Linked DNA regions of Neodiprion lecontei. The protein of the gene in region 1 purifies or fractionates together with the protein of each later gene. This does not show direct contact. Links are inferred from orthologs where the notes say so. Each region holds a gene or a part of one and is shown in the gene's direction. Other genes may lie near its edges. The genes, in order: anaphase-promoting complex subunit 15, anaphase-promoting complex subunit 2, cell division cycle protein 27 homolog and anaphase-promoting complex subunit 7.

Region 1 (5,479 bases):
GAGGGGGATATTACTCCCTCTCCATCCGTCTTACGCTTTTTCGATCAGGCTACGGATCTGACGCGAGTTTAACATTTTGTACCCATCTAAAAAAGTGCCAAGCTCCGCTGAAGAAGTTTTCACTTCAAAAAAAATTGTCCCTCGATAGTTTTCTCGATCAGCAAAAGAGTTTGTAGCCGGCAGCAAGAACGATGATGAAGCTCCAATTGCACCGGAAAAATGCTCCTTACTCGGAGGAACAAAAAGATCTTGCAAAGCAGTTTTTTTATACGCGTTTGAGAAATGCAGGATGCATGTTTCCGGCGGAAAGTACCGTGCGCAATTGGATCTCGGAGGTTGACATAAACCCCGGCTTCTGCGATTTCATATTCCAGAAGTTGAAGGTCAAAATTGAAGAGTTGCCTATCGAAAATAGGGTATGCGCTCTAAAATGGGACGAGATGACAATCAAACAATTTGAAGAATATTCGGAGAAACTCGATTGCATCGAAGGTCTGGTTGATCGCGGCCCACTAGGTCGGAGGGATGAACGCGCGCGCTACGTCTTCGTTTTTTGCGTCGACAGTTTGAACGCAAATCAATCATGGCGGCAACAACTCGCGTATTTTCGTCCCGGGACTGGCATGAAGGCCGAGGAGATTCATACCTTGGTCGATGAATGCCTCCGTTGATTGCATGAAGCCGGAGCCGTAGTTCACCTCGTGACATGTGATCAGGGTCCCTCGGACCAAAAATTGTTCAATTCTTGTTTAAAAGTGTCAGAGGAGAGTCCGCGCTGTATGAGCGGTGAACGAAACTACTTTGCTTCATTCGACTTTCCTCATTTGATAAAACGTCTTTTGAGCACGTTGCGAACACACCAAATACTGTACTGGAGGGGTCAGATTATCGCTTTCTACAAAGATTTTGTAAAAACTTGGAGATACGATAACTGCAGTACTACCTCGAATCTACTTTCTCACATCTCCGAGGCGCACTTGTTTCCATCGTCCTTCCAGGCGATGAACGTTGAGCGTGCTTTTCAAATTTTGAGCCGCCGACTTGCAGCGGCAATAACAATTGCAGGCAAGGATCCGCACGGGCTCAACACGGAAACGTGACAGGCTAGCGCAGCTTTTGCTGAGCGTATGAATAAAGTCATCGATTCGTGCAATGCCTACGAGCTTTTGAGCCGAAATCTGGATAAGCGCCCGCTTGCCGACAAGAAACCTGAGATCGAGGAAACGCTTACAGAGTTCGTGAAGTTGTCTTCGGAATGGACAATTGCTGACCCAAGGAGAAAGGGGACGGCTGAAAATACTTCGCGAGCTATTCTGCTAACGTATCCGACGATAAAAGAGAAGTATCCCCGATTCGAGTTGGCAGCCGGACTATGCAACCAAGATTCCGTCGAACACCTCTTCTCGAAATTTCGCCAGCGAGGTGGTCACAACCCAAATCCCACGGCTCGGACGGTTCGCTTGTCTCTGAGACACATCCTTTCTACCGGATACATCGGCAGCGGCAGCAGAGGAAATGTACAATGTCCTGACGCCGTTGCTTTAATAGAACCCTGCACGATGGTAGCTCGGGCTTTCGATACGCCAGAGAGTATGCCTGCGGATCCCACCGAACACGAATTCGACGAGGATACGGCAGAAGTAGAAAATGACCACGCGTATATTGAACAAGTGTAGTATATTTTTATCGTTGCGGATTGATGTGATAATCCCCTCAAATTGTATAGATTAAAAAATTAATATAAATGATAAATTAGTTTATTGTCATTAGTTGTTGCATGAAAAAAAATATGGTTATTAGTAAAACTTTGACTAGTTTACTTGTTAATTTGGCAACGTCAAGTTGTCAGCTGTCAAGTGCATAACCTCATCTCGAGACCGGAAGTCTCTATTTCTAACAACTACAACAGAAGTCTAACATTTTTATAACATTCATAACAAGAATAATGTTCATCGGATACGTAGGTGATTTCACTTTTTTCCCAGCATTTACGACCTCTTCAATTGTTTTTCGAAAGTCACGGTCCATTTGCTGCCATGAAAAAGTCTAATTTTGAATAATTATTTTCTTGTTTAAATGTTCGGGAACCCGCCTGATCTTTTTGTACAGCCGTTTTTGAATATTTTCCGAAAAATCAGATTTTTCTACAGGTTTTGAAATACTGTGCATGATCTCATTAAACAATGATTGGATTCAAGATTTTCGGTGGGGAAACGGCTGAATGGAGGTAATATTAATAAACAGCTGAAAGAGAGTTTTTATACAATCGATCCGGTCTCCAATTTTTTGTTAGGTAGATTTTTTCTTCTCCGGGTTACCAAATAAAGAAACGAAAAAAAAAATAGAAAAATGGACAAAATCTACACACTCTCAGAATTGTTTTTTTTCATTCCTTTTTTCTCTTCTCGGTTATCAAAAATACAAAAAGAAAGCCGGGATTGGATTAAAAAAAAAAAAATTAAGAAAAATAAAATAAAATAAAAAAATGAAAAGTGAACTGCGATCAAACCCGTGTCCCGCATCACTCCATCCTCATGTGGTATCCACTCAGCCACGCTACAGCTACTTCCATGATCGCGCGTTAGCTCGGAATATTTACGGAGCTTGCTTGGAATTCGCTGATGATTTTCTGGAAGATTCAGTTCGAGAGAAAAAAAATTTCCCCCAACCACCTGCGTATTGCACATTTTGCATAAATGCTATCGAGCTGACTTCGTAATATTTTTACATAGACTGCGTGTACAAATATTCGAGACCACCAGGCGTCACATATTTTCATATCAATAAAAAAATAAAATTTATTAAAAAAAAAAAAAAAAGTTTCCGGGCTGGGAATGGTTAATTATTTTGGTTCAGCGTCTGCTAATTGAATCCAAAATTTATCAAATCTGGAGATACTTTTATTCGCTGACATTCATAATTGAATCAAGAAAAATCCCAATTCTTGCATTCCTGGAAACATCTGTGTGAGCGGGGACAAGGATGCGATTGGCAACCACTTGCTCGATCGACCGAGTATATCATATATATACGATTGTCGGCCACCTTCGGTGCGTGGCCGCCTAGGTGTCACGTCGACGTTCCAACCTAGCTGGTATCACGAAAAGCCGAGCGTTGGAGATCTCCCTACTCATCTCTGCCGTGACCGACTTCGACGAGCGGTTCGCGGCCTCGTTCATTCCGTAAAATCGAGTGTTTTCGAACGCCTGCGTATGTCGATTCGACTGCTTAATCTGGTCTCCGAATAGTTCGTGGAGCGTCGTGAAGATAGTTGACAGCTCGGCAATAGGAAACGTCAAAAAATTCACATGCAGTTTTTTGAGGTTATAATATCAAACGTAATCAGTAACTGTCGCGTTGTGGAGATCGACTGGCCTGTTCACGGTTCCTTCAAGTTTTCGAAATATGTCATTCATGCCACTCTGGCCTGATTTACAACCCCGAGCTATTGATCCTCTGTGGTTCGACGCAGACAAGCCGTGCGACGACGAGAGCGAGGTTATTGCATTAGAAACTGAGCATCAATCATGGGTAATTACGTTGTCATGTAATAAAAACTCGTCACATGGCCTAGACCATCTGCAGGACATATTACAAAATGTAGTGTTTACTTTTAGATGGACAGCATACAGGCCGAACGCTGGAATCAAATTCCAATTGGAAAGTCAGCAAGTGATGTATGTAATTAAACGTAACATAATCTGTTTGTAATCACTACGTTTATCGCAAATTTTCATTTGCGGTGTTAGTAGTCAGGAAAGAAGACAATGCTGCAAAACTGAACTGTTTTCTGTTCTAGTTCCGTGGATCCGAAGGCGAAGAAGAAGAGGAAGAAGAAGACGAGGGTGAAGGAGAAGAGGAGGAGGAGTCCGACACCCATGAGGAGGAAGAAGAAGAACTGGACGAGATCGACATGGAAGTCAGCTACTCCCATCAACAGCCGCGAGCCAGTCCTGGGCCCAGTCCTGATACCCAGCAAAACCCGGTTTCCATCAGAATGGTCAACGCGCGCACCCTCCATTACACCTAGAATCTGATTGTGTGACAATAAATTAAGATGTTAAGAAACGTTTAGCTGTACAATTAACCGTAAGAAAGAATAAAATTACATTTGTGTTGCATCTTCTGTGTCATTTAGAGTTTGAATAGTTCCAAAGACTCGTTCAAATTTGTCCTAATTCTATCCCAAAATTCTTACAGGTCTCTACTTTACCGGCACAGTAAGAGTTTCGCTGTTTTCGACAATACCACCCGTATTCCGTACGCATGCACGAGTCTGTAAACTTGCCGCAGAGATCGAACGTATAGATACCGAGCGAACGGCTGCGACGAGTCGGTGGGTAAAAGCGCCGTTTTGACCGCGGAACAGCAGAGCACAACACAACACCACAATGGTGAGTGTTAAAACAGTTATTCGAGCACCTCCGATTACGTAACTGCTGCTCTAACGGACGCAGGTCACGACCCCATTGACCCAGTGCTGGCCAACTAGTAGTACCGAGGAAAATCTCTTTTATCTTTAAGAATACAAGAGAGGCTGGCAAAAAATTACAAAAATTAAACAAGCGAAAGTATGTAAAGATTCGGCTGCTTTTATAGGTATAGTCTGCAATTTATTTTTATTATCTTGATCTGTTTCTCGCACAAACAATCACATTCCCTACGGCTGCATCGAGATGGTGGGAGGAAGGGGAGGCTGGAAACTTCCTCGTGGTAAACTTTCTCCGCGAGTAAAAGATAATCGGGCTTTCATCGTTCCTCGACTTTCGACGGTATGTAATACCTATAGTTGCCCGTAAAACGTTCCGATCGTTGATAAAGAAACGATGTGCATCAATTTCGACGCGTATAATATATGTATACGCGTGTGTAGGCAATGCAAATTCACTTGCGCGTATAACAATTGTCGTTCGTTATCGTATACTTTGGCGCACACCCTGTAGAGAAACGTACGGCTGGGTATGCCGAGTGTACGTAGGTATGGAGAGGAGTTTATATAGAGGTATGCATGTACCTCTGCGAGGTAGTAAGCGAAGTAAAGCTAAAGCCAGGTTGGTGCCCCCGCCAGGGTGAACGAACGCCAAGACACAACCGGCGCGAGTAACCGCCTAACACAGCGAAAAGCCGACGCAACTGCAGCCGACGGACTCCTCAAAGGAACGTGCGGATCTCGCGATCAAGCCGAACTCTCTTCGCGCTCTCTTCGTGAAAATTTTGAAGTTTTTATTTTTCATCCGAAAATCAGCCTCGAAACTGCCGCCAATGCTCCGAAGGGCCGCGAAGCAGCTTCAGCCCGCAGTTGTTACTGTAAATACGAACGAGGGTCGCGAGCTTGCAGGGGAAAATCATCCGCGGAACTTGAGTACTTCTAGGATTACCCAAACCCCGAGCAAGGGATGTTTACGAAATCATATATCCACACGGTCTATGGGCCTCGTTGGCTCGATGTACACAGGCGCAGTAAAGATCTATTAATATC
Region 2 (7,871 bases), on another chromosome or scaffold:
TTTTGGTTTCTACCATATTTATCTGGGAAATTTTTATTCTTCCATAAAATCTCAATCTTTTTCAAAAACTGGGATGTACTTTAGGCACACAGAAATTGAGTATCAAACGATCATTCAGAAAGACAAAACTTCAGAATTAAGCCTGTTACAAAAGCAATTGGTGTATTTAATTACGTACATGGATCACCTTAGCTGGTCGATCTTTACGATTCGTCTTGGCTGCAATTCCACAAGCATTGCATAGCATCATAATCCTGCCACTAACGGGATCGACATACTTTCTGGGCATTGGTGGCCGCTTCCGATTTCCAGGACTGCATCGTGTCGGATCGACAATATGCGGTGATTCACATTTGTCGCAAGAAAATGGTAGACCAGTTCTCTTGTCGATGTAAACATCGTTGGACGAATTGACTACAAAATCAGAATGTTATGAACGAATTAATTCAATACTGTTACATGCAAGTTGATTAGTTATAAGGGAAAACGGACTGGACAGCTCTTTTATGCTTATTTCCTGCTTCAAAATTTAATGTCTCAATTCTGTAGAATCAAAAGTGCGAAACTAACGGATTCAATTTGACCGTTTATAATGTCAAGGCAAGTCAAGTCAATAAATACAGTTAATACGTTGTTCAAATTGAATATTATCCCAAAAAAGTTTTCTATTTGATTTGGTCAATTTTTCTACAGTTTCCTTTTTCCCAACGATCCCCTCATTTTTTTTGTTGCTTGTTGCTTTTATGAAAGTCAAATATTAGATTAGGTTCAAGAAATTCATGAGAATGGTATAAATTTTTTCTTAGAACACTGTAATAAAACTGCTCCTGACATTGTCCCATTTGATATTTTTCACTTACTTCGCTGTACTCGAATTACTTTGGGCTTCTGCCTCTGTTTCTTACTGCCTGTAGTCAGATCTGAGGGAGAATACGGCCTCGGCTTTCTTCTCGGCCTACCAGTAGATGTTGGAACAGAACTAGTTGCAACGTTGCCAACCTGTGAATATAAATGGATAATAACATGACTTAACAGTTCCGGCGTAACTTCAAAGTTTCTTCAAACAGTCCTATTCTTACCTCTACAAATCCACTTTGCCCAGTCTCAACTACTTCCAAATTGCTGATTCCCCATATCGGACACAAATTAACTGCGGGTAAAATTGCATAGTCGTTCATGTGACTTGCAACATTATCTTGAGCAATTTGATCATTCAACTCAATCAGTTCCTGGCAGTGCAACTGCCTGTTTTCATCACACTTGTAGCTACTTTCGTCGGCGGTTTGAAACATCATTTCCGAGGTATTGCCTGAAGATTCAAGTTACCATGAGTATGTGAATTAAAAGGTACAATTTCTTTTATTCAACAATCCTTAATTCATTATTTTTTTGTAGGCATGCAAATATATTTCATATTACGAGTGTGGTGCTATATACTAATTCATACTCCACTGACTGAAGTTATCCCTGAGACAGTTCTACGAAATTAATCATAAATTAAATTGACAAAACGATTTCTCTTCTAAGGCAAATTGTTTACGTAAGACAGAATTATGGAAATATTCGATGCACACTTTTATCACTATTCTGTAGTTCATGTATTTTTCTGCAAGTGGATTCGAATTCATGAAAAGATCACAATTCAAATTGAACCAACTTACATAGATTATTGCTAACATTCGACAGGTGATAAAACTTCTTGCCTTCTGAATACGTTTTTGGATTACTCCTGAACGGAATAAGAGAATAAATTTTCCTCTAAAAATTTAACGATTTTAAAGTAATGAAATGGCATTTACTACAAAAATGAATTCAAATTTTAACAAAACTTGTTACTGCTATCAGTATCACGATGAAAAAAACAGATATCTACACAGTTGAATGGTAAAGAGACGTTATACCTATATTATTCCTCGGTTCAATCCGTGTTCAAGCGGAATCAGAAAACCTCCGATACTCATACTCGAACAATAGCATTTTTGTTTTTTTGTTTTTTTTTTTTTTTAACGGTACGGAATTCCCCGCTTAGCAGAGTTAAAATACATCGCATAACCTATTACGTCTATCTACAATACAAAATAACCGTAAACATTATTATTGCATCGCGTATTACTGCTTGACGTTGAGTCTTCCCGCATTTATAGGTGCATAATTTAACCTTGTGTCTTAACTAATGATTCTCGGTAGAATTCAGAAGAATCAGGCAGTTTTATCAAAATTTATTATAATAATATGCTTTTCGATTCGAAACAACTTACCGACGAGACACTCCATATTGGAATGTGTGGAAAAACACAACAAATGAACGTGAAAATGTCCGTAAGATAATATATAAGGTCAAACTGAAGTTGTTGAAATAAAAACTTGGTCACACACGAGTGAAGTAGGCAACAGCTGTTTACAAAATGCACGTCGAATTGACATTAGGATCACTAAACACCTGCCAAACTGTATGAACATTGCTGCAGATATGGATATGGCGGCAATAAATGCCGCGTCTGAGCAGGACGTACTCTTAAAAATCGAATATGCTTTTCCGATCCTCAGACAGAAGGTATTTCAATTACTCATCCCTCTATTTTTCGTTGGTGTATCATCACTAGTTATTTAGTCTAATCAAAGAGTCGTCAATCTTTAGGCACGGTTTTCGATTTTGTTAAGGTTATGTTTACGATCTGCGTTATGAATTTTCAAACTCAAACATTTACACTGTTGTCATCTAATATCGTTATCTACGGCTAATTACGAGGATTACAAATATATTATTGGATCGAATTAAGATAGTTTTAAATTTTGTCAAGGTTCTCATTATTTGTTTGAAATCTTCATATCGGAGAGTAATCGTACCTGTCATTCCATTATTATACAGGTACTCAGCGAATGTTCTGACGAACAGTTTACCGATATACTCAAGCAAATAAATGATTTGAAACTGTTGGGAAGAATTGAGGAAATAGTTATACAAAGTATAGAATACTATATTCGTCAACACGTAGCTCCAGACTTCTGGAGTAATTTTAGCAGTACAACAAATGAACAACATGGATTTGAATGCTTCAAAAACGCCGTTGACGGCTTGTATTCCAGCTTAATAGAGTTTCTACCGATGTTAAAACGACTAGAACAACTTGTACAAAGCAAGGAGTCTGATGGATCGTTCTATGGGGAAAACAATATTTTAGGACAGTTTAAACTTATTGTTAAAGCTACGTTATTGAGTCAACTTGCATTGAATCATGAAATAATCATAGAACACTTCTATAGAATTGCATTCAATGTGTTCTGTAATACTGACACCTCACCGCAAGGTGAGTTGTTTGAATTAAGGGAAAAAGAAGTAATTGCTCTTTTCACTATTTCTGCTCTATTAATCGATCACTTGGTATAACAAGTATGAAAATTTCTAATTCAACTGGCTGTAGTAAATCTAATTTTAACAAATTCCGATCATCAGTCAGTGTTAAGTTCCAGATTACACACCAATTAGTATTAATGAGTTACAAGACCAGTCTGCAACTTGTAAACGTACAATGATTCAGTCGATAGTTTCAATCAATATTCAAATTCTTCAAAACGCTTTGCTTCAGCGCTATTTATCAGCTTCCAATCTATTCCACCCCAATTTTTCTACTGAAAAGAGTAAACCTATCTTGTTCCTCATCGCCTTGGATCCACTTAATGACAGAATTATTTTTCGTGCAGATGATTCAATTGGTAGTCACAGCCTCTGCAAAGGTTGCAATCGGGAAATAGATGACTGTCAGTGCCAAGCAATAGTATACATATTTCATGAAACAAATCGGAAGTTAATCGAGCTTGAACTGCTCGAGCGATTAGTTGGAAATGTCTTGACTTCGCTGATAAATATCCGCATTGAGAGTCATGTCAATAAAGCGTGTGAGAGCAGTTTTGATGTATCACAATTAACGTTTTTGGAAAACGTAAGTGTACAAGAGTCTGAAATTTTTGTGAAACATCGACTCGCTCACCGAAACAACACTATTGCCTAGAATAACAATACTTTGTATTCCACAGTGGCTCGAAACAGTTGTTATGAGCTGGCTAACAAGAATATATTCTGGAGGCTCTTCAAAATCCCCTTCTTTGAGCAGTAAAACGCGCGAGACAATTAATAAATTCAAATACAAATTGTCCCATTTCCTTTACGAAACATATACGCGAACGAGAATTGATCAGCTGTTCAACATCATTATAGGTAAGGAAACAATAACCGTGATTAAGTATCTACTTGCACAAATACCGTGATATTTCCAAGCCAGGTAAATATATTTCGAAATTTTAGAATACCCTGAGTCACAGCCGGCAATAGAAGACTTACGAGTTGGTTTGGAACGAACAGATCTACGCAAGACGTTGGTTGAAAGTTTACAAGATGCTCTGAAAACAAGGCTACTACATCCAGGTGTAAATACCCCTGATATTTTAACGGCGTACATAGCAGCCATAAAAGCTTTGAGACAGTTAGATCCAACCGGCGTTCTTTTGGAAACTGTTACGCAACCAGTAAAGTAAGTTAATATTCTATTACCCTCTCAGGTCAGATTAAATACCCACATCTCCAGTATATTACAACAAATTTATCTCTTACTTACAACCAGGCAATACCTGAGGAGTAGAGAAGACACGGTAAGATGCGTGGTTAGTGGTTTGTTGGATGATTCCCCTAGCGACTTAGCTGATGAATTGGTGAAGGGCGAATCGTTGCAGCTGGAAGAAAGTTCAGTCGACGAGGAAGACGAAGACTGGGAAAAGTGGATGCCAGATCCAGTCGATGCAGATCCTTGTAAGCTAGGTTTGCATTTTAATATGAGAAGCTGCATAAGTTTTATATTTTTGTAACCCGATCTTTGTGTGATCCTAATTTTCAGCCAAATCATCCCAACGCCGAGTATCGGATATAATTTCCATGCTGGTTAATGTTTACGGAAGCCAAGACCTGTTCGTTAATGAATATAGAACTTTATTAGCAGATAGACTACTTTCACAGCTAAATTATCATACTGAAAGAGAAATTCGTCATTTGGAATTGCTCAAAAGACGTTTTGGAGAAAATCAATTACACTATTGTGAAGTGATGCTCAAAGACGTTTACGACTCAAAAAGGATAGATGGGAATATACAGTCGGATTCCAGTTACTGTGTCGAAGCACACCTTTTCCCTACCTCTGCGCTCATTCTATCGGCTCAATTTTGGCCGCCTTTCAAGGAAGAGTGGAAATTAGAATTGCCAAAAGCTGTTCAGGATCAGCTAGCTAAGTACATGAAAGCATTTGAAGCTCTTAAAGGGAACAGAACGCTATGCTGGAAGCCTCATTTAGGAAATGTAAACCTGGAAATAGAATTGAAAGACAGGAAATTGAACATGAATGTCACACCTATCCACGCTACAATCATTATACACTTTCAAAATAAAAGTGAGTACTAAAGCACGTTTGTAAATACGGTGAAGATCTTATTACTTATTAACCATGTTAATATTTGTATCTCAAGATGAATGGACGATCGACGAACTGAGTGAAGCAATGCACGTCCCAGCAACTGTACTCCGTCGTAAAATAACGTTCTGGGTATCCCAAGGAGTTTTGAAAGAGATCTCAAGCGATAAGTTTTTACTACAAGAAGAAAGTGCAACTAAAAATCGGTCGACAGCTGAAATTGTTGAAGAAGAGGAAGTAGAAAGTGCAATGGCTTCGGCTAGTGATCAGAGGGAGGAGGAATTACAAGTATTTTGGTCATACATCGTTGGAATGCTGACGAATTTGGATTCTATGCCCTTGGAGCGAATACACCAAATGTTGAAAATGTTTGCCTCACAAGGGCCAGGTGCTGTGGAATGTGGTTTACCAGAATTGAGACATTTCTTGGACAAAAAAGTTAGAGAACATCAGCTGTTATTTTCTGGTGGATTATATAAATTGCCTAAATCGTAATGATTGTCTTTACGATGACCGAAAAATAATTAAAAATATAAAATAATTGTAGGCCTTTTGTAAGCCAAAGAAATCATATTGATTCGACTATGACAATTTTTTTATCATCATCAAAGTGTAATAATTATTGGTTTAGTTTTTGTATAGAAAATATACCTTACAAATAGTAAATTGTAATTTTTTGACAAAGTTTTTTCCTACTTATTTTCGTACAGCTTAAAATTCAAGCTTATTGAATAATTGTAAAAATAATTCTTGATAACTATTTTACAATCATCTTATTTTTTGGAAATTTATTGTTGAAAGTAAGGAGTAAACTGTTATCAAAGTTTAAATGAGCTGTCGTATTACATTAATATTGATTTTTTACTGCAAACTTTCTGATTTATCAAGCTGCAACTCTACACATAAAGAGATGTTCGTAATCGTAGTATGAAATCGTAGTATGAAATTCAGTAGGTAAAGTATGAAACCTCTAAGAGATAAATATCGTATTGAAACACAATAACTGAGTTTTATCAGAAAAATCCAGATACCATGATATCAGCGTCAGTCAGTGTGAGTGGGTGGGTGTCTTGATGTGAGATCATTTATTGAGCATTGATTAGATATTTGCAGTATTCCCGCATATCAAAAGGCGTAAAACGTATTACAATTAACAGGAGGCAAATTCAGCAGATAGAGAGTCGATTGCCAAATGGCGGTCTCGTCACTTGTTCGACCTTTGTGCCTTTGTTTAGGCACATTGGGATTGGTAAGAGTCTAATTATACTGTATTTCATAATATATTCTAAAACAATAAGCGCTATCAAACTTATGAACGAAATTAAACCGCACGAACTTTCAGATGATGTGAAAAAAATGGATTCGTAAACGTGCTTCACATTATTGTACCGATATGTGTTAATCAATTTTTGAACTCTTTTATATTAAACTCTGTGCATGTGTAAAAATTTATGGCTTAGGTACAAGGATTGATACTCTGTATACTCACTCTATTGGGTGTTCTGGTACATCTTTGTGTAATCACAGTGGATTCCGATGAAACTTTCAGCACTTTTGTACCGCTTGTAGTAGGACTATACTTTCAAGGTAATTCTACAATTGCTGATTAAAAATCATTGGTACTTCACTGAAGTATGCAAAGTATAATAACACCAACATTTCTCATTACAGGGGCAGAATGTCAGGTCTACAACACTACGGTACTTTCAGACGATTACTTTTTAAACCTTGTCACACCAGAATGGCTGTTTATTTGGATGGCAGTTTACGTTGGAGTTTCTGGACTCTGGATCATCTTTAGTACACTGATAATGAGCGGTATGTACTGGAATATTAACTTTTTACGAAATTGCGACATACATGCATTGTGTACTCCAGTTACCGAATTATTGTGACCCTAGCTTAGAACATGAGTTTATAATTTTGCGTAGGATGTGTGTACAGAAAAAAAATTCTGCATTACTTCCTCCCATGTTGGATTATACTAACACTTGGAAATTGTACGATGGATCTCGTATTAGCTGTCTACTTCGGATTTGATTTCACCGATCTTATTGTAAGTATTGTTGCATGCTTATTCAAATGACGTCGAATGTTGTGTTAAGGTTCAGGATCCACACTAAATGTACTAATTTAAAATTTTTTATAGTCCAATGCTTCCGAAATCTATGGAACATCGCTGGTGCCTGTTGTTCCTTTTGCCATGATGATTTTAAGCGTGAAAGGTGGCGCTTTATGGGTAATAAATTTTATTGGCAGTATATTCGCTATAGTTGCATTGCACAACTTTGTGAAACACAAAGATGATCGTAAGCCACTGTTTTTGGAAAGAGCTGGATTTCTTGACCAAAATCCAATCGATGGTTTTGCACCAATTGAAGTGCCAAGGTAATTTCCAATTTTTTATCCTTATGA
Region 3 (8,903 bases), on another chromosome or scaffold:
TTTATATTTTATACTGTATACATTAGGTATATACCGAGAGCATGTCGAAATATTATGATCTATACTTTATCTAAATTGATTACAGACATTAATATTATAAGAATATCGAATCCAAAGACCCTTCTCAGGAATATTTTCGTACTACATAGGGCCTTCTATCAGGCTAATCTTCATTGTACAATAGTAGATGCTTCTTCCAAAACAGAGAACCGCCACCAGGAATGCACCTAGAAACGATCATTTATAAAATACTTCAAATCACAAGTATAAACCTTATTTATACGTATAAATGAAAATTCCATATTTTTAACTGACCAATATGTAGAGAAAAATTTTTGAAGGGATCTAATTAACTGTTTTATGAAACTCTTCCAAATATTTGGAACGTGAATATGTGATGTGTGCATAACTTTTCACTTAGGATTTCTAACAGCTATATTTAGATTCAGAGAAATACGTTGGCTATAGAGGATCGGTTGTTCATATTGACAGTCTGTTATGTAAGAATTTGTGTCCAATTCCCATTGGGTTGTCTATAAATATTTTCGTTTAATCTGTTTGCCATGGAGATGATATTTAGGTAACCAATGAATAAATTGTATACTCCAATAATTTAACACTCACCGACATAAGCGACATATATACCGCCATTTGTTCTTACAAGTGTATACGTGCCGAGCTGTAATAAGAGAAGATGTAAAATTTAAACAATTTCAAAACACTTGCAGAATAGGATAAAATTGCTCGAGTTAAAGCGTCTCCCAATTATTAACAGGTGAATTATTATGTGTGGTGTAAGAAGTTGGTAGAATTATAGTTGAGAATTATGTAGTTGTGTAAGCCTTGTTATTGAATATCAATCGAACATTGTATAGGCAGTCTTGGTTCTTCATTATGTACTTGGAATTTTCCAATATCTTCAAATTGTGTGTACGTTTTATGTACACCAGAAACGGAATATTATATAATTAAATATCATTAAACTGTAAACAGTAATTTGCATTAGGTCGTTAAGATTAGATAGGATATACAATAAGTGATGTAAAAAGAAGAAGAGTATGGCGGTTTATCGATGCGATTACACACTTGGGAACAATGAGTCACAGTTGCAGTATTTAATGAACAACTCCACTGAGAATGAAAACTTGGTATCAAGTGGAACAGGGTAAGTAAAATTCTGTGATAGAATTAACGTTTAAAGTTAATTATTTTACGGAACATTATTTCACCTATATCTACGTATCTACAGATACGTGTATGACTGTGTGTACTTACTGTAACAGCAATTCCCACGACTAGAGCCACACATCCGATTAAAATAAATGCGATTCCACGACCTCGTGCAAACTCTGGTCCTACGGATGATACTTTGCGACAATGCGGGCATCGAGCAAGAGCGTTATTTAAAGTGTTAAACTGTAATACACAACAATTTTTAATTAGCCGATAATAATTTATGTTAAGCACTAAATACATTCAGACTCAAAAACTCGATTATATTTAGTTTCAACGAGTTACACTGGATGCATTTGTGTCTTATGATGCATCCAGTGACCTACCAGAAACGTGTCATGGCAATGTCCGCATCCAACTCTACACATTCCAGGCATAGAGAGAACGGGCGGAGTTACTGGCGAAGGCGCTAAATTTATTATGCGCTTGCAATTTGGTCTTGGACAAGCAATTCGCTGTGAAGAACTCTTGCATATAAGTAAGCAGTTGCAAGGACAACGGACGTACTTCTTTCCTGGTGGAGCATTTCTTATCGGCTGAAAGGAACGTCATCAATCGTGACTATCATATTAGTATCGTATCCTAAAGTAAAGGATCGAATACTGGTAATACTCAAGATTTTAGATACTTGAAATAAGTTCAAACAAATTGTTGAAAATAATTGTACATTCGCCGAGTTGAATTGAATCGTTCCTTGTTAGAATTAGATTTTGCAAGCTTGCAAAAAAGACTGATGTCTTATCGTTTAGAATTTGAAATGACTGTAAGAATATACAAAATATTTTTTAATACCATTTGATATTTCTATGGACATAAGTGACTGTTTACTCTGTAAGGATTTGAAGTCCTTAATCTCACAATATGAAATAGTTTTTCTCGATATGCAACATTCTATGTGGTGAGGCATTATTAATTTAATATGGAAACGAAGTCTTTTACGTTCGTCGAAAGGTGCTAAATAATATTAGTAAACCGATGTTGATAAAAAAAAATAGTGGAAATAGTAATAAAATGTGGTAAAACTGACTGTAGCTTCGTTACACTGGCAGCATTTAACAACATGTTGATCCCGCTTGCCGGATATGTCTATCATAGCTTGGCAAACTCTGCATGTGACCATAGGGATTCCACCCTGCTGAGTGGACTGGTAGGGTGGCGGTAACTCGTCTGGACCGATCGGACATACTGTATTGACTGTGGATTCAGCGGCAGCTATCAGATACAGAGATTGAAAAGAAGAGTGAAGGTAGAAAACTAGTAATTTATAGTTCGATATTACAGACTTTGTTCTTCTGAGTTGAGAGGTTCAACTTGACTAAATAATGCGACTGCTATGTGTAACGCATTAATACGAACCTGTTATATCCGTCGAAACACTGGTGTAGGATATATTGTCATTTTTTAACAAGGGCTGGCGTTCGCCCTGTTTTCCATCGCCCATTATGGAAAGTTTTTATTATCTATTCTTCGAGAATCACCAAGCTCGATCCACTGACAGAACTCCGATGACAAATATTACCTCTTCCCCTATTGACAACTGGGACTTGATACGACACGTAGAGTGGCAACCGGCTTGCTCATTAATCAGCTGGCATCTATCTTCACATCGCTGTATTTTTGACCGGCTAATTTAGGTTCAAGTACGGCTTTATCGTTCGGCCATTTCGTTGATATTGAACAGAAATCAATCCAAGTGTGAATGATGTTTAAAAAGATTCATGGTTTTTGCACGAAATTATAGCGTATTTCGAGGTATTCAAAATTACCCGGTATAGGCGCGGTATCTTCCTTCTTAGAGATATAGAGATTTTTATCGGCTACTAGTGACTTTTGGACTGTTTGAAGCATTGGATCGGGTGACAGGCACTGCGATATAGAGGCAACTTCAGATGAGTCCAAGAAAGCTGGCAAAAGCAAATATGGAGTCTTGAGAAATTTTTATACGAATTTGCCGAGGAAGTGCACAATTTTCAGATTTCAAATTGAAACGAATCAATTGAAATTCATATTTATATGCGTGGTAAAGGTGTAAACGATGATTGTACAGGAACCAGTGCAGGTAAAATTATCATTTAATTAATATACGGTGTCCAACGTGTTTCAACGATTATTTCTTTGGTTGTAATTTTGACATCCCAGTGGCACGCACGACTTTATTACTTCTTAGATTTATTTTTTCAAAATGAAGCGTCAACGTTTGCAGATATCGTGACTGCAGGATAACGCAGCGACACTTTGTTCTCGTCAAAGTAATAATCTTATAGAAATTAGTTAGTTTGCCTTGAGATCTGCATGTCTTACTCCTTCCGTTTATCAATCAACAAAACATACGAGAATATCAATTGTTTACACGATTTATAACGCTTTTTAGGCTGCCATATGGCACTGTTTAAATCACTATGCTTATCGAGATGCAATATTCTTGGCGGAAAGACTGTGGGCCGAACGTAAGTAATACATAACCATCCAAATATATTCACCGTTTGAAATCGTTAACTTTTCAATGTCACCTAAATAGTCTTTGCCAAAGTCATAAAGCCTTGTGCTAATTAATTTTTACCTCATACAAAAAGAAATCTATTTTATCTATTTAATGTATACAGTGGTTCAGAAACTATTATATCTATATATTCAAAATTTTCAGTCAATACAGTTTCAATGAAATGAATTGCTTCCCTAAGTAGTTACTACTTTATAAAATACTGACGCTAGCCTTCCATTCTAGTCGACACAGAAGATGCATTATTTTTATTGGCAACGTGTTATTACCGTTCAGGACGTGTTAGACAGGCTCACGCTCTGCTCACCAAAAAGGCGCCGAGTTCTTCACAGTGCAGATTTCTCTTAGCAAAGTGCTGCTATGACCTGGAGAAGTTAGTAATCTTAAACCCCGTTTTACTTAGTTTGTAGCAAATTATTATCCACTGTTGTGTATTGAATTGTCCAGAAACTTTGTACCGTGAAATCATGGGACCTTGATCTTCAAACCTTTAGATCCACAGCTGGAAATTGCATGATTCTGTACTTGGAGAATGTATAAGATCAATCTTTGTTTTTTCTATCATGTAGATATGCGGAGGCCGAAGCAGCGATAATCGGTGGATACTATAAGCAGTTGAAGAATTTAGATGAGATAGTGACACAGTTTGGAGACCAGGCTTGCTTCTCGTTACAGATAATAGCCAAGATTTATTATAGAATGATGCGAACAGCGAAGGGAAGTGAGGCGCATAAATTAGCATTAAAGTTGAACCCATTCTTGTGGCACTCTTTTGAGGAACTCTGTAACGTTGGGGAAAAGGTTGATCCTGCCAAGACTTTCCAACTTGACAAACTAGACAGTTTTGCCACTTGCCACGGTACTACCCCGATACTTAATTATGCCAATGAACCAGATCTCATTACTCCGGTTGCAAATAACCCAGTCACACCAATTCCTAATAACATGTGAGTTGAACTTTCGTGTGATGTAATGATTTTTTACACATCTGCACCTGAGATTCTGACTAACGTAAAGTTTCTTACTCTTTGGCAGCACTCCTGCCCAGAATAATGTCGGGAATGGTATTAATTCTGGTGTAAAGTTGTTCGCTACGTCTGATGAAAGTCCAGCAGGTTTTCCATCCCAAATACTAAATTGTTCTGCGGCATCGCCTAGGGGAAAAATGCCTCGCTATCGTAGCATGTTTAGTAACTCCATGAGCCCTTTGACACCGAGCTTTGGAATTCTCCCATTGGAAACTAATACACCGGAACAAATTGGACCGCCTCATGCAACGCTCTCCGAAGCAAACGATCAGAAAAGTTTGGCCAAGCGAGTCAGCAGTTTAAAAGCGCATGTCGGAGTGAGTGAAGTTTGGCAAATAAGTGGTTCAGTTTTTTTGTTTTTTTTCCTCATGTATCGATCTAAAGGTAATTATTTATTAAATTCTGCAGCAACTAATGTCTCGGAAAGAAACGCCTTTGCAGCAAGGTAAACCAGTGTTTTCTCAATCTGGAAACACGAGTAATACAGCAAACATTGTTACGGTCACACCAACGGCTCCAGTCCCGACTCCACAAGCTCTTCAGGGACCCAACGTTAGGCGATCTTCCAGACTTTTTAGTAACAGTTATTCTGTCAAGGTATTTCTGATGAATTGATTGAACGCATTAGATTCGGTTTTAGAATCTCAAATAATTCTCTGAAAATCTGTGATCCTCAATTTGTACTTTGATTAATTCTTTTTTTCAAATTTTTTATAGGAGAATAATAAATCGCCAAATAGGAATAAATTCGCCCCACCAAAATCACCCTCTCGGAAACCCAAAGCAAGACTATCAAAGACTAATTTAAATAAGGCAAACTTCAACGAACTGAATGAGAGAAATAGAAATGAAAAGGAAAAAAGTGAAACGATCACTTCGGACAGAGTGATATCGTCCACTAACACACTAAACCAAAATAACATGATGCACTGCGCTTTACTCGTTCAAAAACAGTGCGCCGGTGAGTCAAGTACCCAATTACATGTTTGGCAAACTTTCTTATAAAATATTGTTTCTCGTAATTAAATTTCACGTCATCAATCAGTTCAAACGTTTATTTTTTAGAGGGACTTATGACACTGTTGAGGGTCCTGGGCACAGCGTATCAACATTTGAGTCAATTCAATTGTTCACAAGCTATTGAACTATTCAGTGTTTTACCTGCGCAGCATTATAATACAGGCTGGGTCCTCTCGATGCTTGCAAAAGCGCACTTCGAGATGATAGATTACAAAAAAGCTGCGAGGTACAGCAAATTTCTTGTTACGTTGAACAAAATTTCGAAAAAAAAAAAACTGTCATTCAATAAACAGAACCGAATTTGCTTCCTCATCAAATGTAAAAAATAGCTAATGTAACTTTTGATGCTTTTCTGCTGTAGTTATTTCGCACAAGTTAGACAACTGGAGCCGCAGAGAACAGAGATGATGGAAATTTATAGTACTGTACTATGGCATCTTCATGCCGAAGTTCAGTTGTCCACCCTGGCACAGGAGCTCGTCTCGGAAGACCGATATTCTCCAACAGCTTGGTGTGCTACTGGAAACCTATTTTCGGCCCAAACAGAACATGAAACAGCGATTAAGTTCTTTCAAAGAGCCATACAGGTATTGCGTCCAATCTTCCAGTCTTTCGCTGTCTCCGAGGAGAAGCAGAAAAAAGAACGGTCCTTTGCTATTCGATTCCGTTTTTTTTTTTATTTTTAGCACTCTTTACATAGAATAGTTTAGACAATAGCTTAACACATATTTTATTTTCGATTATAGGTAGATCCCAACTTCCCATACGCGTACACACTTCTGGGTCACGAATATGTTATGACAGAAGAATTAGACAAAGCAATCACAGCATTTAGAAATGCTATTCGACTTGACCCGAGGCATTATAACGCGTGGTAAGTTCCTCGTTAATCCTTAGCGATACGATACCGTTTTTGTTGAAATTTCTCCCACTGGAATTTTTCTCACCTCTATATTTATATTCTCACAATGGAATTATAAACGTTGGTTGTTTTGTAGAACAACTTATTATTGAATACACAGTTAATTGGATTTGAAATTTTTATCATCAGGTTTGGACTTGGAACGATATTCTCTAAACAGGAGCAGTACAGTTTAGCCGAACTACATTTTAAACGGGCGTTGCAGATTAATCCACAAAATTCGGCAATCATGTGTCACATAGGGGTTGTACAACATGCTTTGAAAAAGACTGATCTTGCATTGAAAACATTGAATCAGGCGATCCAAAACGACCCTGACAACACGCTTTGCAAATTTCATCGAGCAAGCATTAATTTCTCTACAGGTCGACCTGCTGAAGCATTAAAAGAGTTTGAAGAACTGAAGAATATTGTACCCAAAGAATCTCTAGTCTACTATTCGATAGGAAAGGTAAAATATATTCACTAGTACTCATTTTTAATTTCTAAAAATATTGGGCTGATTTTCACTTGCTTTTTTTTACATTCGAAAAATCTTATTTCCTTGCAACAGGTGCATAAACAGTTAGGAAATACGCACCTCGCGCTTATGTACTTTAGTTGGGCCACAGATTTAGATCCCAAAGGTGTCAACAGTCAAATAAAAGAGGCCATACTGAGTCCTGGCCAAGGTGACGATGACCCTACTACACAATTAGGTGAGATGAATCAGAATAATTCCCAAAATTGGTTGAAGGCTGCACTTGCTGGATGTCATATAAAATTCCGGGTTCATCTATTTTCAGCTGAAAGACAGGCACAAAACAGTTCGACGGAACAAGAGGGAGAGGCAAGCGGGGAAGTTGATCAATCAGCAAATGTTACGATTGACCCTCAGATCGACGATAGTGATAACAGCTTATGAGTGTCTTGATCTGGCGTACCGCTACCGTTACTGCTGGCCAAAATACCTGTATACTTTGTTATAAACAGCCCTCACCTAATAATGTAATAGCTAGTGCGCAAGTGCCCATTTGGAATAGACAGCTATAGAAAACGAGGAAAAACTTAATCTGAAATAATGGAATGAAATATTAGTTTATAACTTACGTGACTTATTATTTTTCCTTGACAATATTTACCATTCTCATTTTTCTACGCATCGCGCGCGATAACTAAGATTGTTGAAGATACAAGAAGATTCCGTACAGTAATTCTTACACAATTTTTAGCACATGGATTTTCTATTTACTACTATCCAACAATGCTATTCGTCACATTTGTAATACCGCGGCTGATAAAGTCCGTATTATTCTTCAAGAAAATTGTACATAACAACTACTTTTGCTGAAATTCAAAAAATAACATTTCAACTATTGTACATGAGATGCTTTCACTTTTATATTCTCAGTTTCTATGATCAAGCAAAAATATACAACAAATATAATCATGATTTCCGCAGTAAACCACGGCCGAAGTGCCCTAGGTGTATTTCTGCCTGATGATTATTTTTTCTCATTAATTCGCTTCTCTCCGCAATTGAAAATATGATTAGGCTTCTATCATGTATCTATGTACATTATTGTCGAATAGATTATAAGTATATTGTGTGATTCCAGTGTAAGACGTCGTATGAATTTATCAATTATTATTATTATCAGCTGAAGATACGTTCGGTTAACAGTGTAATCAAGGGATAAAAAAGTTACGTCACTATACTTTTTTCCCATGTAAAAATATTATCGAAAGCTGCTCCTTACTTCTCGCTTCGTCACGCCAGTAAATATAACGTTTTGGGTTTGGACCTGTTTCTATGCGTATGAGCACATAATAACTCCCGAGTGATTCAATCAGTGTCCAGGAAATATTAGAGAGTGCAATATAATACCGATAAACACCTGTTTTTAATGTTTTCGTTAGTTATCGGGTAAGATGAAAGCGACTTTTACCACCACCAGTTGCCGCAGGCTGTTCCAAATCTCTATCGCTAGAATACTGATAATAACTATATTTATAACATTTTATAAGTAATGTAATAATGTGTACTAAGCGTCAACTTCTATGTAGTCTATATTATTCAATTCAAAAGATGAAAATGCCGATCAGTATGCATACATATATCGATATGCGCGTAGTAAGCTCCAATACTCTATTCTGTGAAGAATAATATAATAATAATAAAAATAATTATGATTGGCAGCTACATACCTAAGCCGCTTAA
Region 4 (6,977 bases), on another chromosome or scaffold:
TGCGCTAGAAAAGTACAGTGTATGTGTTAGCTATGGTTATTTCAAATATATTCACATATAAATAAATAGGATACCGCGGAGATATGATGATTTACGGAATGGAAATTATTATCATTGTATCGTACGTAAGTTTCTGTATATTAGTCGGTTTAGCTTGTTTATGGCATACAACCAGGACGGAAGCGAATTTTTACGTTATCTTGTTATTATACATTTTTTTTTCTAATCAACTATACATCGTTGTTGCTGTGAAACGGTTTTGTGGTAAATTTACAGTCTATTTAATAATATGTTTTCCGGAAGCTAGATCTCCACCACATCCGTATTACATACGCATGTTGCAATATTTAGACGGTGTATGAGAGATGTGAGACAAGAAAAGATGTCAATCTTGCACCGACAACGCCCAAAAGTCTACCTTGCTTCTTAAGAAAGCTAATTTACGTCAGACACACTCATACTATGTTCCAGTTAATCTTGGCACCTTTTCAAATGAACGTGAAAAAATGTTATTCAACCCGCATATGTGAGCATTCGACCGCTTAAAAGGCCCAATTGTTATGTTACAGTGTTCTTTGCAATACGTGAAAAGTAGAAATTTTTCGTTTTCTTATCACTCGAAACGTGTCCTTCATCTATTAATTCAATATCGGAATAATTTCGAAAGATATTCAGAGGTCAGAGCTTTTCCCGTGAAAGTATTCGTGGTATTCGTATATTATATTATTATTATGGCAAGGTGATCAGCTTGATCTACATCGGCGTGATTCTGATATAATCCTTTATTTACAAATGACATTCGCAACGATACTGGAAATTCGGTTTACTTGCCATGGAATAATATATTCTATTGAATATTTTATTGGCCGAATAACAAAAGAAAAAAAAAACAAATACATACACTTATATCCATTAGTCGTTCGATATAATTATATCACGATTTATGTATGCACATATTCCAACTTACTTTCCCTATGGTTTTCGTTTACTTGAGACACGAAGTGACGCATGCGGTGTTGATAATTTTCAATTTATAAGATTATAGCGGATTTTAGTAAGAGAATAACACTTCGTATTTATTCGAGACTCGAACATAATCCGGAGGAGCTTTATGTAAAAAGTAATTAAGCCCACCTGTTACACCGCTCGTTGCCTGCGGTAGACTGAAACTATGCCAAATCTCGGCTTCCTTGAAAGTGAAAGGATAACGCACTACGTGTCCTTGATTGTGCTGTGAAATTCATGGCATCCACTCTGCACACCAATCACCGTACTATTTTTTATCGCCATCTAGGTATGGGAAAGACATCTCATTATGACCCAATAAGCCATATATCGCGACATACAAATATCATGCACATAGGATTGCGATAAGATTGGAGTCTTTTTTTTTTTTCTATCACAATTTTCATTATGGTTTGAAAAATGCCGCGTGCGGATTACCGATACACGATTCAATTACTATTATTTACAAGTGGTAAGATATTTTATTTGATTCCATTCGTCCGTTGCAGTAAAATTGTAAATTGTTTGGTACGCTATACTTTGTAATGTACGTATTTTTTAAAAATTACCCGAGGTGCAACGACTCATCGTACATGAAAATTAACGCTTATCTAATCAGTAATGATATACGGATATATGAATGATATGCTGCGGGGATCTATGTTCACATTGTTCACCTATGTCTGTCTGATTGTGAGAACACCTGATTCAGTCTGTATCAGCGATGTCATCTGCTATAGATACATATGTATATAATATCTGATTTCGGCAGTTGCGCAAAATATGTATAACATTCCCGTATATTCAGCGTACGCAATAAACCATATTATTAAAATAATACTACCGGATGTGAAAACTTGAGTTATAGTTTAAGTACAGTATGTGACCCGTCGCAGAGTAATTTCTTATGGATCGAGCAGGAATGTAGGGCAATGTTACTCGTGAAGGTCACGATATAAAAGTTTTATCGATCATTACAGAGCGTACAATAAACTTGTAAATAATCTATAGCCCAACGAGTTTAGCCGCACAGTATTTAGGTTTTATGTAAAAAGATGTGACATATTTTATATACTAACTGCTGGATGTGCTTTTATTGTTTTTGTCAACAGCCAACGTCATAAGTTTGTAAGAAGTTTTGATGAACGATATTAACGGCGTTTATTGCATTTCCAACATTAAAATGCTAGAATCAAGCTAGAATTAGATTTGTCGAAGAAACCAGCCATTCAAATCTCGCGCTAGTCAACAGATGTCGCCAATGTTTGACGGGTGCTTTAGGCGTGCATAAGTATATGAATTTGTAAATGTGGGTGGGTGAATAAGAGGACACAAGCCGTCCGCTGTCAAAGTAGTATTTATATAGATCTGTAAAAATGTCGAGTTTATACGAGCAGATAAAAATGTTGTACGATCAAGAGCTGTATTCAAATGTGATCGCTCTAGTGAGTACGAGCTGTGACTTAATGTTGATTTGTTGAAACTAACCTATAATGCAGAAAATTGATGGCGAGAAAGAATTTGCCAGTGTAAGAGAAATGCATGAGGATAACGTTCAGCTCTTCTATTTCTAGGCAAATTTCATTTTATCGCTAAGCGATCACAACAGCGAGCTTCTTCCACCGCAGGCAAAATTCTTAACGTATGTCCATTGTGCTGATTCGTACTTTCATCTTTCCAAGTACCGGAAGGCTGAATCGCTGTACAAGAAGTCCTTGCAGTTTCGTAAATGCCTTTTGAAATCTAAAGGTGCTACTAAACCGCCGCCTGATGGACAGAAAGAACTCATGTCGGACATAGACATTAAATATCAAATACATTTGTGCTTGGTCAAGCTCAAAAATACCCAAGAAGCCTTACAAGTTCTTCAGGGAATACCTGGCAAGCAAAGATCCGCAAAAGTAAGAACTTCTTCATCCTTGAAAGTAGAAAACTTTTTTGCCATCTATTATTTATGTTCGGAAAATAAATTTTTAGGTGAATATGGCTCTGGCAAAAATGTTCCAAGAACAAGGAATGGAAAGATCAGCAATTACGACATACAAGGAAGTTTTACGAGAATGTCCATTGGCTCTTAACGCAGTGGAAGGACTCCTTGCTCTGGGTGTAAAAGGGATCGAAGTAAATTCCATGATTGTTAACTCTATAACCAATTCACCAAGTCTGGAGTGGTTGAACATCTGGATCAAAGGACACGCACATATTCACAATCGTGAATACAGTCATGCAATCACAGCATTCAGGTCACTCGATAATGCCAATTACTTTAGAGACAATGTTACCTTGTTAATAACAATGGGTGAATGTTACTATTTTGCTGGTGACGATAAAAATGCCTTGACGTGTTTGCGACGGGCCAGAACTATAGAACCTGATTTGACGAAAGGGTTTGTAAAAATTCGTTTCTGGATTCAAATGATATGTGTTCAATGATAAGCCTGATCTGTTTTATTTTGTTACTTTTTTAGCCTTGACATATATGCCGCTGTGTTGTACAAGACGCAAAACACCAAGGAGCTTGAGAAATTAATCCCAGCTATAACACAGACTTCCGAATACACAGCTGAACAGTATATAGCTATGGCTTATGCTTTGTACGCTGCGCGAAAATTCAGTAGAGCAAGTACCCTGATTGTACAAGCGATAAACCTGAGCCCCTATAGTATCGAAGCAATTATATTATGGGGAAATATTCTTATCGACCAAAAAAAATATCAAGAGGCATTGCACCATTTTAGGAAAGCTGCTCTACTCAAACCACATAGATACGAACCACACAAAGGACTCGTTGATTGTTATGTTGGAATGCATAGACTTAGGGAAGCATTGAATATCGCCAGTACAGGTTGTAAATTACTGGGACACACGCCTCGGGCTCTGACGGTACGCCATTAGTAAAATACTAAACTGTATGTTTAAACAACAGTTTTTGAGATTTGACACGATGACTTATGTAAAAATATTATGTTGCAGCTTTATTCGTCGGTTTTGATGAAGGACCCTGTATCAGTTGGCAAAGCGAAAAACTTGTTGGAAAAAGCATTGAGTCAAGAAGAGTCATTTTTGCCGGCTGTTTATTTGTTGGCTGAAATATACGAACAGGAGATGAACTTAGAAGCTGCTATTGAATTACTTGAGAGACAAGTAGAAATATTACCTACCTCTAAATTTCATCAGATGCTTGGCGATTTGTGGGCTAGAATTCACAATCAAGAAAAAGCATTGGATCATTACGCCATCGCCTTGAAGTAGGGATGCAGTTTTAGTTTCACAGTGTGCTGATATTTTTATCTGTACTGTTACTAACCAATTCATTTTATCCCATTTGTTTACAGTTTAGATCCATGTAATCGACGGGCTCTGGAAGGGCTGCATCGGTTAGACAGTACTTCAACGAAACTGGAATCGACTTATTATATGACTGTAGGTGACGAACATGCAGATACAACTTATGATGTTGGAGATGGTTTGCCAGATACAGACAATGACGAGGGAGCTGACGAAAGTGAAACAGAAGCAGTTTGGTCTGACATGGATCTGGAAGCGAATAGTCAATAGGGTAACTTACAACCAGAGTGATTGAAAGTAGTTTGTAACTGAAAATAATGAGCATTTCTCATTTTTGCGGCAATGATTTTCCTCTGATATTATATAACAATGAAATTATGAGTTCTTTATCAGAGAAATTGTCATCCCGCATCACAGTACTCCTCGGAAATTTTTGTTCCATACTTCTGCAAAGACTGTTGAATTTCAACTGTGACTGACGATATTCTTTAAATCATAATAATGCGTGCATTTTTTGTAAATGTACGAAACTGTTTATGGAGTAGACAAAATGACGAGTTCCTTTCTCCTATATGTAGTACAATTGACAAATGAGTACTTCGATCATGCAAGAAAGAATTACGCAATTCTGGGAAGCACCATGTTTCTCTATGTTTATGTTCTAATGAGAACGCATCAATCATGTTTATAGAAAGAGAAATTCTTACTTTATTAGCTAATTTTTCGATGTTGTTTTCTTAGTACAGAATAAGCAAAAAATTTATTCAGTTTTGTGTGTACCACAAATAAGAATAAATTAAAAAATATGAGTACGTAGTTTGGTTACCATATAGAATTTCTGTCTCCCATTGAAAACATTTTAATAACCAAAGTCTACTCGTAAAGAACTAGTAATGTAGGTAATTGAGTAAGAAGTACAAAAAATAGAATCGTTAATTATGTATTTCCCACACAGTATGCCTAATGAAACTTTCATAACAAAATTATTTCAGATCTTTCGTATAAATAAGTAACAATTTTACAAGTAAATAATAATTAATGAAGAAAGTGTGCATCGAAAAAATATTTACAACTATGTCATTCGACATAAAACATGTCTATTATCTAAAATTAGTTGACTTGATATTCTTAAATATTTTAGTCGATCAGCTGTGCTTTTGCTTTTCAAAATTTGCTCGTAAATATTTAAGCCCAGCAGTAATCTTGTCTTCGTTTAAGATATGCTGTGGTTCTTGACTATCAATATTATCCGACATGCTGGTGTCAGCTGATCGTTTACTTGAATCCACGCCAGTTATTGAGCTCAACAATGTAGAATCCGGTAGATGATATTCCATAGGTAAACAATCGCGATTCGGGGGTGGGACTGAAGTTGGTACCAGTTCTGGACCAGTATTAAAAATATCTGAAGTAAGGCCAAATTGCATATTTGGAGGTGGTTTCGAAAAATCAATGCCTGATAATTCTGTTCTCATATTTTCTGGCAGGGTAGCGAATGTTTGTTGAAAATTCACATGCTGTGTGGGTAATTCGGTATATAGTGGCATCGGTCCGATTACATCTGAACCACTACTATCCGATGATTCTGTGTCAGCATTGCTAATCACTTGCTTAGGCATGGTAATCTGTGATAACTCTGTAGAAGTCTCAGAATGCGGAATATGACTTTGTTGATTATCCGTGCCATCGAGTTGATCGGCCGTTTTCTTTGTGCCACATTCTTCGATAATAGCAGGACTTTCGGAGGTTTCCTCATTTTTACCAGATAAGCTATCATCGAGCGATGCTGAGCTTTCATCCTTGTCCTGATCGGTATTCTTGGATTCTAAATACCCGGAACTTCTAAAATTATTGTATAAGGGGGCAAATTCTTCATCTCTATCTTTTCTCCGCTTGTAGACCCATTCTTCTTGCGACATCTCATACCACTGTGTTCTTTTACCAAGCAGTTCGCCAAAAGCTTTTATCTTGTTCTCAATTTCGATAAGTGAATTTTCTTTCCTATATTCAATTATTTTCCTCTCATCAGATTCGACTTTCTCTTCAGTTTCTGCTTTAACTTCCATCTTGTCTGTATTCACCTCATCATTTTTCACGAGTTCCTCGTCCGTGGGCTCAGGGGGCAGTCCAGCCCTTATTCTCTGTCGTATTCTAGCCGCCTTTAGCCTGTTCTGTTCCATTTTGTCTTTCATTTCCTTTAGATTTTGCATTTCCTTTTGTTTTTGTATGGTTTCCTTTCTCAATGCATCCAAGTTTGCTTGCTGCTTCGCTCGCATTTCTTCATCCTGGGAAAATTCGTAGTATCCAACGCCGTGGGCTCTCGCTTCGTCAAAGAGAATGTCTTGATAATGAATATTCATTTTCTCAGTCAACTTTTCCGTTTGCTCCTCCCATTTTCTTCGCATTATTTCAATCTCTGGCTCTTTCGGAGGTGTGACAACATCTGGAGGCCTGACATCCTCAACTTCGGTATCTCCTTGGGACTTTTTCATGACTTCGTGCTTTACAAAGTCATCTTTTTTCTGCATTGTCGACAAATCTCTACGGAGGCATTTCCTTGTCCGTCCAAAGCAGTCTTCGTATTCAACCCAGTCTTCTTCCGGGTCAGAGTTTGCATCTTCATAATCATCCGAATCGAATTTCTCATCTTCTGACTGTGGTTTGTTACCAAAGTCGACCAGAAA

Evidence for each region.
Region 2: the proteins of anaphase-promoting complex subunit 15 (region 1) and anaphase-promoting complex subunit 2 purify together in Homo sapiens (affinity purification with mass spectrometry; 4 studies listed by BioGRID and IntAct, with this or other methods). This does not show direct contact. The link is inferred for Neodiprion lecontei from reciprocal best matches to the Homo sapiens genes ANAPC15 and ANAPC2.
Region 3: the proteins of anaphase-promoting complex subunit 15 (region 1) and cell division cycle protein 27 homolog purify together in Homo sapiens (affinity purification with mass spectrometry; 3 studies listed by BioGRID and IntAct, with this or other methods). This does not show direct contact. The link is inferred for Neodiprion lecontei from reciprocal best matches to the Homo sapiens genes ANAPC15 and CDC27.
Region 4: the proteins of anaphase-promoting complex subunit 15 (region 1) and anaphase-promoting complex subunit 7 purify together in Homo sapiens (affinity purification with mass spectrometry; 3 studies listed by BioGRID and IntAct, with this or other methods). This does not show direct contact. The link is inferred for Neodiprion lecontei from reciprocal best matches to the Homo sapiens genes ANAPC15 and ANAPC7.

What each region holds. Positions count from the first base shown.
Region 1 is NC_060263.1:15,452,891-15,458,369, forward strand, and holds anaphase-promoting complex subunit 15, read left to right. Parts: upstream 1-3,119; 5' UTR 3,120-3,405; coding exon 3,406-3,531; intron 3,532-3,617; coding exon 3,618-3,677; intron 3,678-3,799; coding exon 3,800-4,030; 3' UTR 4,031-4,121; downstream 4,122-5,479. UniProt on the Homo sapiens protein: Component of the anaphase promoting complex/cyclosome (APC/C), a cell cycle-regulated E3 ubiquitin ligase that controls progression through mitosis and the G1 phase of the cell cycle.
Region 2 is NC_060261.1:6,128,582-6,136,452, reverse strand, and holds anaphase-promoting complex subunit 2, read left to right. Parts: upstream 1-2,431; 5' UTR 2,432-2,452; coding exon 2,453-2,554; intron 2,555-2,869; coding exon 2,870-3,308; intron 3,309-3,529; exon of another isoform or gene 3,530-3,572; intron 3,573-3,702; coding exon 3,703-3,941; intron 3,942-4,035; coding exon 4,036-4,216; intron 4,217-4,303; coding exon 4,304-4,529; intron 4,530-4,619; coding exon 4,620-4,804; intron 4,805-4,889; coding exon 4,890-5,435; intron 5,436-5,511; coding exon 5,512-5,951; 3' UTR 5,952-6,118; downstream 6,119-7,871. Other genes in the region: uncharacterized protein LOC107222515, read right to left, coding at 179-414, 861-999, 1,080-1,309, 2,259-2,274; uncharacterized protein LOC107222521, read left to right, coding at 6,649-6,705, 6,917-7,043, 7,128-7,274, 7,388-7,512, 7,606-7,844. UniProt on the Homo sapiens protein: Together with the RING-H2 protein ANAPC11, constitutes the catalytic component of the anaphase promoting complex/cyclosome (APC/C), a cell cycle-regulated E3 ubiquitin ligase that controls progression through mitosis and the G1 phase of the cell cycle.
Region 3 is NC_060266.1:21,418,031-21,426,933, forward strand, and holds cell division cycle protein 27 homolog, read left to right. Parts: upstream 1-3,132; 5' UTR 3,133-3,246; coding exon of another isoform or gene 3,247-3,268; coding exon 3,269-3,292; intron 3,293-3,604; coding exon 3,605-3,680; intron 3,681-3,958; coding exon 3,959-4,106; intron 4,107-4,302; coding exon 4,303-4,680; intron 4,681-4,768; coding exon 4,769-5,078; intron 5,079-5,169; coding exon 5,170-5,358; intron 5,359-5,478; coding exon 5,479-5,722; intron 5,723-5,826; coding exon 5,827-6,007; intron 6,008-6,142; coding exon 6,143-6,368; intron 6,369-6,527; coding exon 6,528-6,655; intron 6,656-6,832; coding exon 6,833-7,154; intron 7,155-7,256; coding exon 7,257-7,401; intron 7,402-7,488; coding exon 7,489-7,607; 3' UTR 7,608-7,787; downstream 7,788-8,903. Other genes in the region: type 1 phosphatidylinositol 4,5-bisphosphate 4-phosphatase, read right to left, coding at 142-227, 625-679, 1,276-1,416, 1,560-1,769, 2,261-2,445, 2,590-2,674. UniProt on the Homo sapiens protein: Component of the anaphase promoting complex/cyclosome (APC/C), a cell cycle-regulated E3 ubiquitin ligase that controls progression through mitosis and the G1 phase of the cell cycle.
Region 4 is NC_060262.1:35,032,584-35,039,560, forward strand, and holds anaphase-promoting complex subunit 7, read left to right. Parts: upstream 1-2,307; 5' UTR 2,308-2,381; coding exon 2,382-2,450; intron 2,451-2,579; coding exon 2,580-2,906; intron 2,907-2,982; coding exon 2,983-3,392; intron 3,393-3,473; coding exon 3,474-3,888; intron 3,889-3,978; coding exon 3,979-4,253; intron 4,254-4,340; coding exon 4,341-4,563; 3' UTR 4,564-5,105; downstream 5,106-6,977. Other genes in the region: coiled-coil domain-containing protein 174, read right to left, coding at 5,439-6,977. UniProt on the Homo sapiens protein: Component of the anaphase promoting complex/cyclosome (APC/C), a cell cycle-regulated E3 ubiquitin ligase that controls progression through mitosis and the G1 phase of the cell cycle.